2 linked regions of the Arabidopsis thaliana genome follow. The protein of the gene in region 2 interacts with the protein of the main gene of each other region in a biochemical or structural test. Each region holds a gene or a part of one and is shown on either strand. Other genes may lie near its edges. The genes, in order: AT5G53920 and PRPL11.

Region 1 (5,078 bases), on a different chromosome or scaffold from region 2:
GTTCTGGTCTTAGCTCTTGTACAACCAAACGAAAGTTGGTTAGACCGGTATTGAGTAAAGATAGTTTAAATCTAGCTAGCAAGAAAGAAGCTAGTGGTAGCCAAGATGCTGAAGCAGAGAGCATTGATGGCAGTACCGTTGACAAGAATTGTTTAGAAAGTACTCTAGCTTTGGTAACAAAGAATGAAGGTGAACACATAGAACCAACAAAAGTTAGTTCTACGCTCAACGCAGAGTCTTCTTCTCATGCTGACACTGAGGAGGTAGATGAAGTCAAAGGAGGGTCTCAGTCTGAACAGAAAACAATTGATGAAACAAAAGATGAGTCACAGTACGAACAGAAAACGATGACTGTGATGAGGGGTGGAGAAATGGTTCAGGTAAAGTTTCTGCAATTCTTGAAATATTGATTTCCTTGTAGTTTCCAGGTATGTCTATTTGAGTCCTAACATTTTTCTTTTGAAATTTGTGTTCAGGTGAGTTACAAGGTCTACATTCCTAAGAAGGCCTCTTCTTTGGGTAGAAGAAAACTCAACAGGTGAAGCGACGACATGAAGATAGTCTATGTTGACAGATTTTTTGTTTCTGTAGAATTTAAATACAATGGTTATAACCAGAGTTGGTGACAACACAAATTTTATTATCATAGACTTGAAACTTTGAATACAACAATGAAGAGTTCATTAAGTTTCATATCATGTGTAGTTGTAACCTCTTACACAACTCCATTAAGGCTGATATGTTCTTAATGTCTGATGATTAGACACTTTTGTTCTTACCTTTGCTTTACTAGTGCTTTTTATGTTATTGTCTGTTTTCTGATATAACACTGAAGAAATGATTAGTTATCAATAAACTCCTCTTTCTTGGTACCACTCATGCATACCCAATCACCTATTGTGGCTACAGAAATGTCCTCCAAGAAGGGAGAGTACCGTTCTCTTACATTTGGAAGCTGCAAAAAGAGCATTGAATTAGTCAGTTTACAGTATAATTTTCAATTCCTATGACTTGCAGGTAGCTTGCTTGCTTGTTATAACAATACAGTACTCTTTATTTACCTGTTCAGATAAGATACCAGAAATGCCAATGGTTGCCCCAGGTTTCACGAATGAAAGGATATGATCCGCCAGATTCATAACCGGGTTCAAGAGTATGTTTGCAATGACTACATCAAACTGTTCCTTTTGCAATGGTATTTCTCTTCCAGAAGAGCTATTCTCAATAGGTGCAAGGTGCAGCTCCAGTTTCTCCAACGGAATGTTGTTCAGAGCTGCATTATGAATTGCAGAGTTTATTGCTAGAGGATCAATATCAACACCAACGGATGATGCAGCACCAAACTGCAAATTTAAATGAGCGATGCACAAAGATTTAAATAAGATGATTTATGTTGTAATGATTGGTTTTTGAAAGATCAAAGGCGTGAGATTTTTACCTTGAGGGCTGCAATTGCAAGTATTCCTGAACCGGTACCATAGTCGAGGAAAGCTTCTCCGCCTTTTATCAAACTTTGTAGAAGCAATAGACACAGCTTAGTAGTAGGATGTTCTCCAGTCCCAAACGCAAATCCAGGGTTCAGAATTATGTTTACCGCTTCAGCGACCTTGCAAAGGATAGTGAAAGAGTACTTTAAAACCACACATAATAACTTTCTATATCCCTCTATATAAGCTGACACAGAAAGAGGGTGATTCATATTCTGCAAATTCAGTACCCTAAGACCGCTCTTCGTTATGTCAACTAAGGCAAAAGAGTAACAAGAATCCAAATGAGTGCAATGGTTTTGTTAAAGAATATTGATTTATACACATACAGGAGGAGATGTCCACTCAGGTACAATCCAAAGTCTCTCGGCGATTTCAACAGGCTGAAACAAATCCTGCAAAATATGATTCAAAAGATATTAGCTTCAAGTGACATTGCCGCAAAACAAATATAGTATTTGCGCTGAGTTTTGAGCATAACTATGCAAGTTTTCTTAAATGAAAGCAATTACTGAAATGATGATCCTTTCTTTGTTAAACTCAGAACTCACCTGGTTTTTGGTAATCCAGTCAAGTTCATCTCCCATTTCAACTTTGAATTTGGGTATCTCTTTCAAGCCTATGGAATTTGCAGCTTGTGAAATGCACATTTTCACCTCTTCATGCACTGGAAATATTGATTCTATACATATCTGCAGAGAGTAATACCAAAGAGCACAAGCATGATTGATGAGACTACAAGAATATAGACAGATCAACCCTTAAGATGCTTCCTAAGAGCAAAATCGTTCCTTTTATGCATCAATTTGCTCTAACATTGTTCAATCATACAAAAGATTGGTGCTTTCTGGAAATGGAGCTGAACAAAAAACGATCAAAGCATAGATTTTTCACCTCTTTTGAAGCAAGAGAAGTCTCATCTTGGTCGGCTTCTTCGATGGCTTCATCTACAGCTACAGAGCTTGCTCCAAAACACAAAAGTGCCTCCGAGAATGGATCCTAACAAAAACCCAACAAGCAAAGAGTCAAATCGCAGTCTCATATCCTTAAAAGAGATCAATGGGAGAGATACACATACGAGGGCATGTTTTGGACAGTGGATACGAACTGAGAGGTAAGGTGCAGCGAAAGACTCATCAGTGAAGCACGAAGATGAGGAGGAGGAAGAAGAAGAAGTAGAGAGAGACGCAAAGATTGAAAAGGAGGATGGAGGAGTAGAAGAAGTGAAGAAGCAGAGAGGTCTGACTCTGCTGTCTCTGAGGATATGGCGGGAGAGATTCTTGCACGGAAAGTGTTTGATGAAATTCCAAGCTAACATTTTCTTCTTTTTTTTTCACCTAATTATCGAATTTAAACGCTGTCAAGTCACAAATAGAGAAAAATTAAGAGGAAATTTCCAAAAATGTAGATAGAAAGATATTTTCGTCTAAATAGACACACAAAAGCTTAGGGTTTAATTAATTATACAAAGATATACATAATAAAAAAAAGAAACCTTAAATATAAAGTATATATTTAATATTTAATCTGAAAACCATGAAAATCCTGAAAGATAAGTTTTATCAAAATAGGATACGCTTTAAATATATTATTACTATGAATAAAATTAAATACAAATATTGAGTGGTTATCCTAAATCTAGGTTGCGTCATATATATACTTTTGTTTTCTCGTAGAACACTCAAATTTCCAACCTTTACAAATAACATTGTTTTCTTTTGGTTGTAGACGTAACCAACATAACGTTTGTGAACTTATCTATTATTTTCATTGTATAATACAATGTCCGTAGAAAACAAATTGAAAAGCTAAAGTCGATACACGGAAAACATAAGAAAATATACTAAAATCAAGAGATGAAGCTCTCGAAATCATTGGAAAAGTAATAATAGATATAAATATTTTATTTGTCAACATGCGTGCATTATGCATGATTGAATATGGATGGTGACACAACGACAACACTAGCACAAATTAAACCACTAAGTTATCAGTTATGACGAAAGATATAAGTGTCTTACTCATTTCAAAAACCGTATAATATTGATCTCTATACCTAAAATTAAATAAAACCAAATAAAGCGCTTAAGTGTTAATGTATGTTAGTTATAAATCTGTAGTTCTTTGAGGAATATGATCATCTTCACGTGGTAATTCGAAGCGACACAATGGACAATTGTAGCGAACCTTAAACCATTCCATAATACACTTATTGTCAAATTCATGACCACAAAGTAAAGTAGCAACTTCTCGTCCGGTTTTAAACTCCTGAAAACAAATTGCGCATTTGTACTCACCACTAGAATAGGTCTCTCGTTTTCTCATGTATCTTGTGCTCTTGTTAGCAATAGAGCTGGTCTTTTGTTTCCTCTTGTATATTCTCCTGCTCAAGGCTCCGACCCTTAAATTGCTCGCGGGTCTATACTCGCTATTCCTCTCATATTCATTCAAAGGAGCCACATCAAGAGTCAACCACACTGACAAAGCATAACGTGGACAGTATTCAAACGAATTAGAAGTTAAATCACGTGCAAGTTGAGTGAGTTTTAGTATTAACGTGTAAGCATCTTGTGAATCAACTGCTGAATCTGTTAAGAAGTAATAGAGTCTTTGTTTGTGGGGAGAATCTTCGTCGTCAGTTAATTCATTGGCAGGTAATGAACATGAGAAGTTAGACCGGGTTAGTATCGGCGACATGTTGGCTGATCCGACGAAACTTACATAGACTTGGATTGTGCCAATCTTTTTGCGTTCAGGATTGACATCAATATGGTAGTTGAATACAGGAGTAGCTTCCATGATGTGGGTAGACCAAAGAGATTTGTAATGTGTAAATTCAGAGATTCTTATATTTATACTCTATTGAGGCGGTGGAATAGTCCACGTAGGATTATTATTTGGAAAATTTATATTACCTTTTATTTATTTTTCGGTCCAATATTTCCTTTTTATAATTGGTTTCCAATTAAATATTTGATTTACAGTAGTGAATTCTTTCCATGACCAAAACTTACCTTACATTCTTTTTTGTTGTTGACTTTTTTGTTTCCTCATTGGCCTTTTTCTTTCTAAGAAGAATCTTACCAAAATATGATAAATTATGGAATATATACTAAAGTATTAATACTAATTAACATTTTAAAAAATAAAATACTACAATTTTTATAGTATTTTAACAAAGTATGTACATATATTTATGAACATTATATGAGAAGTAAGTTTGTACCACGTTAAAAGAAGGGGCAATGAAACTCTTTTGTTGAAATTTGACGTCAAAACTCGAAGCTATCCTTAATGAAAAGTGTATGAATTTCGGTTTCGATTTTGTAATGAGATAATGATAAAATCATAAGTATTTGATATAGAATATGGAATTTTGCGTTTCCTCTATTTTTAAAATTTAGAGATAAAACTTAAATTATTTGGTGAATATTTTTATTTGAAACTTTTCTAATTTAAAAAGTCAAAATTTTGGAAGATAATTATGACGGCTTACCCTAAACATTAAATATAAAAATATCATATGTATTCATACTTCTTAGGCCATAGCCGCTAAATAAATCATTACAGTTGTTGGATTTTTTTAATTAT
Region 2 (4,281 bases):
TCCCTATACTTGTGAGAAATCCGGACTATCCAGTCCCTTGAGATAAAGCCATAGCACATGCGTACGAGGAAGGACAGCGAATGAGATTACATTTGTATATATATATTAAAACTTTTTTTTTTTTTTTTTTTTGAAACCTAAAGTTTACAGAAAAAAAAAAAAGACTCTGGAAGACAGGAACTAAAGAATGGTTAAGATACAATGAACCAACCTTGATTAAGAATTTTATTTGTAACAAACGCTATAATTGTTTGAGAATTGCCAATTGTGTACAGATGGATCATGGATATGTGAGAATGCATGATAAAACTGTGGGTTTTATACCACAAATAACTTCATCTGCTAAAGAGATTAGACCGATGATTGTAGCGGCTCAGGTTTCTTCTTGGACATTGAACGATCTTGTATGTCCTAAGCAACAGTTTTGGGAACTTAAAATCCACAGGACATTAAGAATCGATCAACCTCTACGAAGAAACCCTCAACCGCCAGAATCTCTGTCTACTCTTCATGATGCAGCTGAAGTTATTGGTAGGATTAAAGCCAACAGTCTCACCTCTTATACATAAGCGGCTCATCAGAATTGAATACACAAGACACTTTGGTTTGTATAGAGACGAGAGGTAAACAATGGTCATTGGCATTAAATAATCCCTTATTTGTGTTCTGTTTCGTATACAATCACAATGATTACATGCCTTACCAATTCTTGAGACTGTAAACCATTCATGCGTTTCAAGTTGCACTTGTTAAATTTCATTTTTGATAAAAACAAAAAAAACACATACATGTTGCATCATTATATCGAACTCTCTTAAGCGTCATGTTGGAAAATTACACTTTGAAACGAATAAGGCATTATGGAATAGAAACTACCAACCAGGCTTTTACAATAAAACTGCTTTCTTTTTGGGTTCAAGAATCGGAGGGTCAATGTCTATCCCCATGTTAGCTGCAGTTCCTGCAATGATTCTCATAGCGGATTCAATGGTCGTGCAGTTCAGGTCGGGTAGCTTCTCTGCTGCAATTGTGCGTAGCTGGTCTATTGTTATCACCCCAACTTTATCTTGCTGTGGATCTTTTGATCCCTTCTCAACACCTATTTCCACCAACAAACGTCAAACATCCCAAAACTCCCAGGAACAGACAAGAAAAATAAAAGTAAGAGTTGCCACAACTTATTACCATTATGTCATTCAATCTATATATCCAGAAAACAACATCACAAAATACATGGCATGAATGATTTTGTTCTTCTACCACGCTATAAATTTGAATCTATATGGTTGAGAAGGAGAACACGTATAATGTGATCTAACAAAACTCAAGTTATTAGGCTTTGCAAATAGCAAGATATGATTCAAGCAAGTACCTTAAGATCAATTCTACAGAGATAAACCTATTGGTCACAATACTCATTCAGGTTCAACAAAAGAATACCTGCAGCTTTAAGCAACAAAACCGAAGCAGGCGGGGTCTTGAGAATAAACGTGAAGCTCTTATCCTGCAAACACACATACAAACTCCATAAACAATCTCATAAACCTAAAACTCGAAACACATCACCAATCTATAACAAGTTATGAATCAATACCAAATACACATAAACATTGCAAAACACATTTTTGATAACCAATTACCACCACAAATGTTACTCTTCTTTAGCTTAATCAAACAAAAACTCAAGATTTGTAGTAGAGAGAGTACAAAACTCACATCGAAGACAGTGATTTCAACAGGAATGATATAACCAGCTTTATCAGCAGTTCTTGCATTATAATCCTTGCAAAAAGCCATAATGTTAACTCCCTTAGAACCAAGCGCCGGACCAACCGGTGGTGCCGGAGTTGCTTTTCCCGCCTCTAAAGCAAGTTTGATAACTCCCACAACTACAAAAATTCCAAACCCACAACACCAATCAAGCAATGAAATTAAGAGAATTTCTAGGTTTTAAGGAAATGGGTAGCGAAAAGATTGTACCTTTTTTAGCTTTGCCTCCGGGTTTAGGTGGAGCCATGGCGATAACAGTGAGAAATCTCGGAGTTGAGGAGAGAAGCGGAGACTGTTTCTTTCCCAGAAATTGGACGGAAACATTTGCTTTGGAGGATAATTTAGCTGAAAGAGAATGTGAGAGTTTGGAGTTGGGATGTAGAGAAGAAGAAGTTGAGCTGCAAAGAGTTGATAGAGAAGAAGACGCCATTGATTCACTGTGAAGGAAGAAGGTTAGTGAAAGCTAAAGAGCGAGTTCACAAATCCTATCCACTTTTTTAGTTCTCCCACTTTATGGGCTTAATGGGCCTAAATAAATAGGCGTAAGATTCCAGATCAAGCCCATTTACTGTCTGTAGTAGTCGTCTAGGATCAAATGTTGCATGAAAACGAGTACATTATATGGAATTATGGACCAAGGAAGAGATTTTTGTTTTTTGTTGTTGTCAAGATCATGCTGATTTGAATTTGGGTGGTGGCATAGTGACGACTGGAACTATAGCGGAGCCGTCACTATGTCAACAAGGTAATACCTTTCAATTAAATGCAGTATCAAAATACATTTCTCAAATAACTTTTAGCAGTGTTTTTTTATACTTCTTCGGTTTTTTCACAACTTTTATGTACTCTTTTATTTAAGTAAATACGATTTCACACGATTATTGATGAGTCAAAATGGAAGGATCATTGTCCCAAAATTTTAAGGTTTATATTGGTTAAATGTTAAAAATAATACGGTTGACAAAGAATAGTTATTGATTCTGTATATCCAATTGTTGGTTTTGTAGATCGCCACTCGCAAGGATTCAACCTACAAGAACGTTGGTTGGACTTCCCGTGGCTACAAAGGTCGCGACTTTCTCATCGCGAGGACCTAGTTCCATCTCTCCCGCAATTCTCAAGGTATATTCCAAGCTTAGCTACTAAATTCTCTGATTTTGATAAGTCTCAAACTTTACCAGATTCTTTGAACAAAGATGTTTGCTTTGTAAGTTAAATTTTAGGTTTTATAAATGTATACCTAAATGTAGTCTTCATGTAGTTACTTCTGACTGAAGTTTCATCTAGTTTGTTGATTAAACTGAGACTTGTTTTGTTCTCTGATACAGCCTGATATTGCAGCACCTGGAGTGAACATACTCGCAGCTACTTCTCCAAATGATACATTTTATGACGGAGGATTTCCTATGAAATCAGGAACATCAATGTCGACTCCTTTTGTTGCAGGAATTGTAGCACTCCTTAAGTCTTTGCACCCTCATTGGTCTCCGGCCGCCATTAGATCTGCTATTGTTACTACAGCTTGGAGAACAGATCCATCCGGTGAACCCATTTTCGCAGACGGATCAAACCGTAAATTAGCTGATCCATTTGACTATGGAGGAGGCGTTGTCAATTCAGAGAAAGCCGCGAAACCCGGTCTTGTTTACGATATGGGAGTTAACGATTATGTTCTATATTTGTGCTCCGTTGGTTACACAGATTCATCCATTACTAGACTTGTCCGCAAGAAGACGGTTTGTGCAAACCCTAAACCTTCAGTTCTTGACCTCAAATTGCCTTCAATCACAATCCCAAACCTTGCAAAAGAAGTTATTATCACTAGAACCGTTACCAACGTTGGACCAGTAGGGTCAGTTTATAAGGCTGTCATTGAGGCTCCAATGGGTGTTAACGTTACCGTGACACCAAGCACATTAGTATTCAACGCTAAGACGAGGAAGCTCTCGTTCAAAGTCCGTGTGTTCGCCATAGAGTGAACACTGGCTACTACTTTGGTCGCTTGACTTGGTCTGACTCTGTTCATCCCAATCTACTGGATTTGTTAATGATGGATTAATAATAAAGATAACATTGCTACTGAATATTCATCCCAATCTACTAAAAAGCTTATGATTAAGTTTCTTGAGGAAGAAGAAAACCAAATATAGGGCAATTGATAAAAAGGGGGAAATGAGAAGATGAGAATCCATAAGAGAAAAAAGTAATAATAACCTATAATGAATTTTTTAGTCTATACAAATAATCTCTTTGCTTTGTTTATATAAATGATTGTCGAGGCTGAAACTGCATAAGACACCAAGGCCGAAGTAAGAAGCAAACAACAACTTACGCCATGATTCCGTTTTGGTAAAGGATCATACTAGAAGTCTTTGTCTCTCCGGGTAGCGAACGTTGAATGTGGCTGCCAAATCCACCAACAGAGATTTCAAGTTGAAATCTAGAACCTTTTGAAGAAATTCATGCGGAGAGATCCACTTCCTCATGTAACTCAGAATCTCTTCTTTGAAT

Evidence for each region.
Region 1: of the proteins of PRPL11 (region 2) and AT5G53920, one has a biochemical effect on the other in vitro, tested with the Arabidopsis thaliana proteins (one study listed by BioGRID).

Annotation. Positions count from the first base shown.
Region 1 is NC_003076.8:21,889,851-21,894,928, reverse strand, and holds AT5G53920 (ribosomal protein L11 methyltransferase-like protein), read right to left. Parts: upstream 2,947-5,078; 5' UTR 2,806-2,946; coding exon 2,566-2,805; intron 2,487-2,565; coding exon 2,382-2,486; intron 2,180-2,381; coding exon 2,039-2,179; intron 1,883-2,038; coding exon 1,817-1,882; intron 1,607-1,816; coding exon 1,439-1,606; intron 1,344-1,438; coding exon 1,062-1,343; intron 956-1,061; coding exon 842-955; 3' UTR 662-841; downstream 1-661. Other genes in the region: AT5G53930 (transcriptional regulator ATRX-like protein), read left to right, coding at 1-380, 477-542; AT5G53910 (RING/U-box superfamily protein), read right to left, coding at 3,594-4,286.
Region 2 is NC_003070.9:11,953,746-11,958,026, reverse strand, and holds PRPL11 (plastid ribosomal protein l11), read right to left. Parts: upstream 2,372-4,281; 5' UTR 2,201-2,371; coding exon 1,981-2,200; intron 1,890-1,980; coding exon 1,717-1,889; intron 1,505-1,716; coding exon 1,441-1,504; intron 1,100-1,440; coding exon 888-1,099; 3' UTR 625-887; downstream 1-624. Other genes in the region: AT1G32980 (Subtilisin-like serine endopeptidase family protein), read left to right, coding at 3,177-3,749; AT1G32975 (uncharacterized protein), read right to left, coding at 4,128-4,281.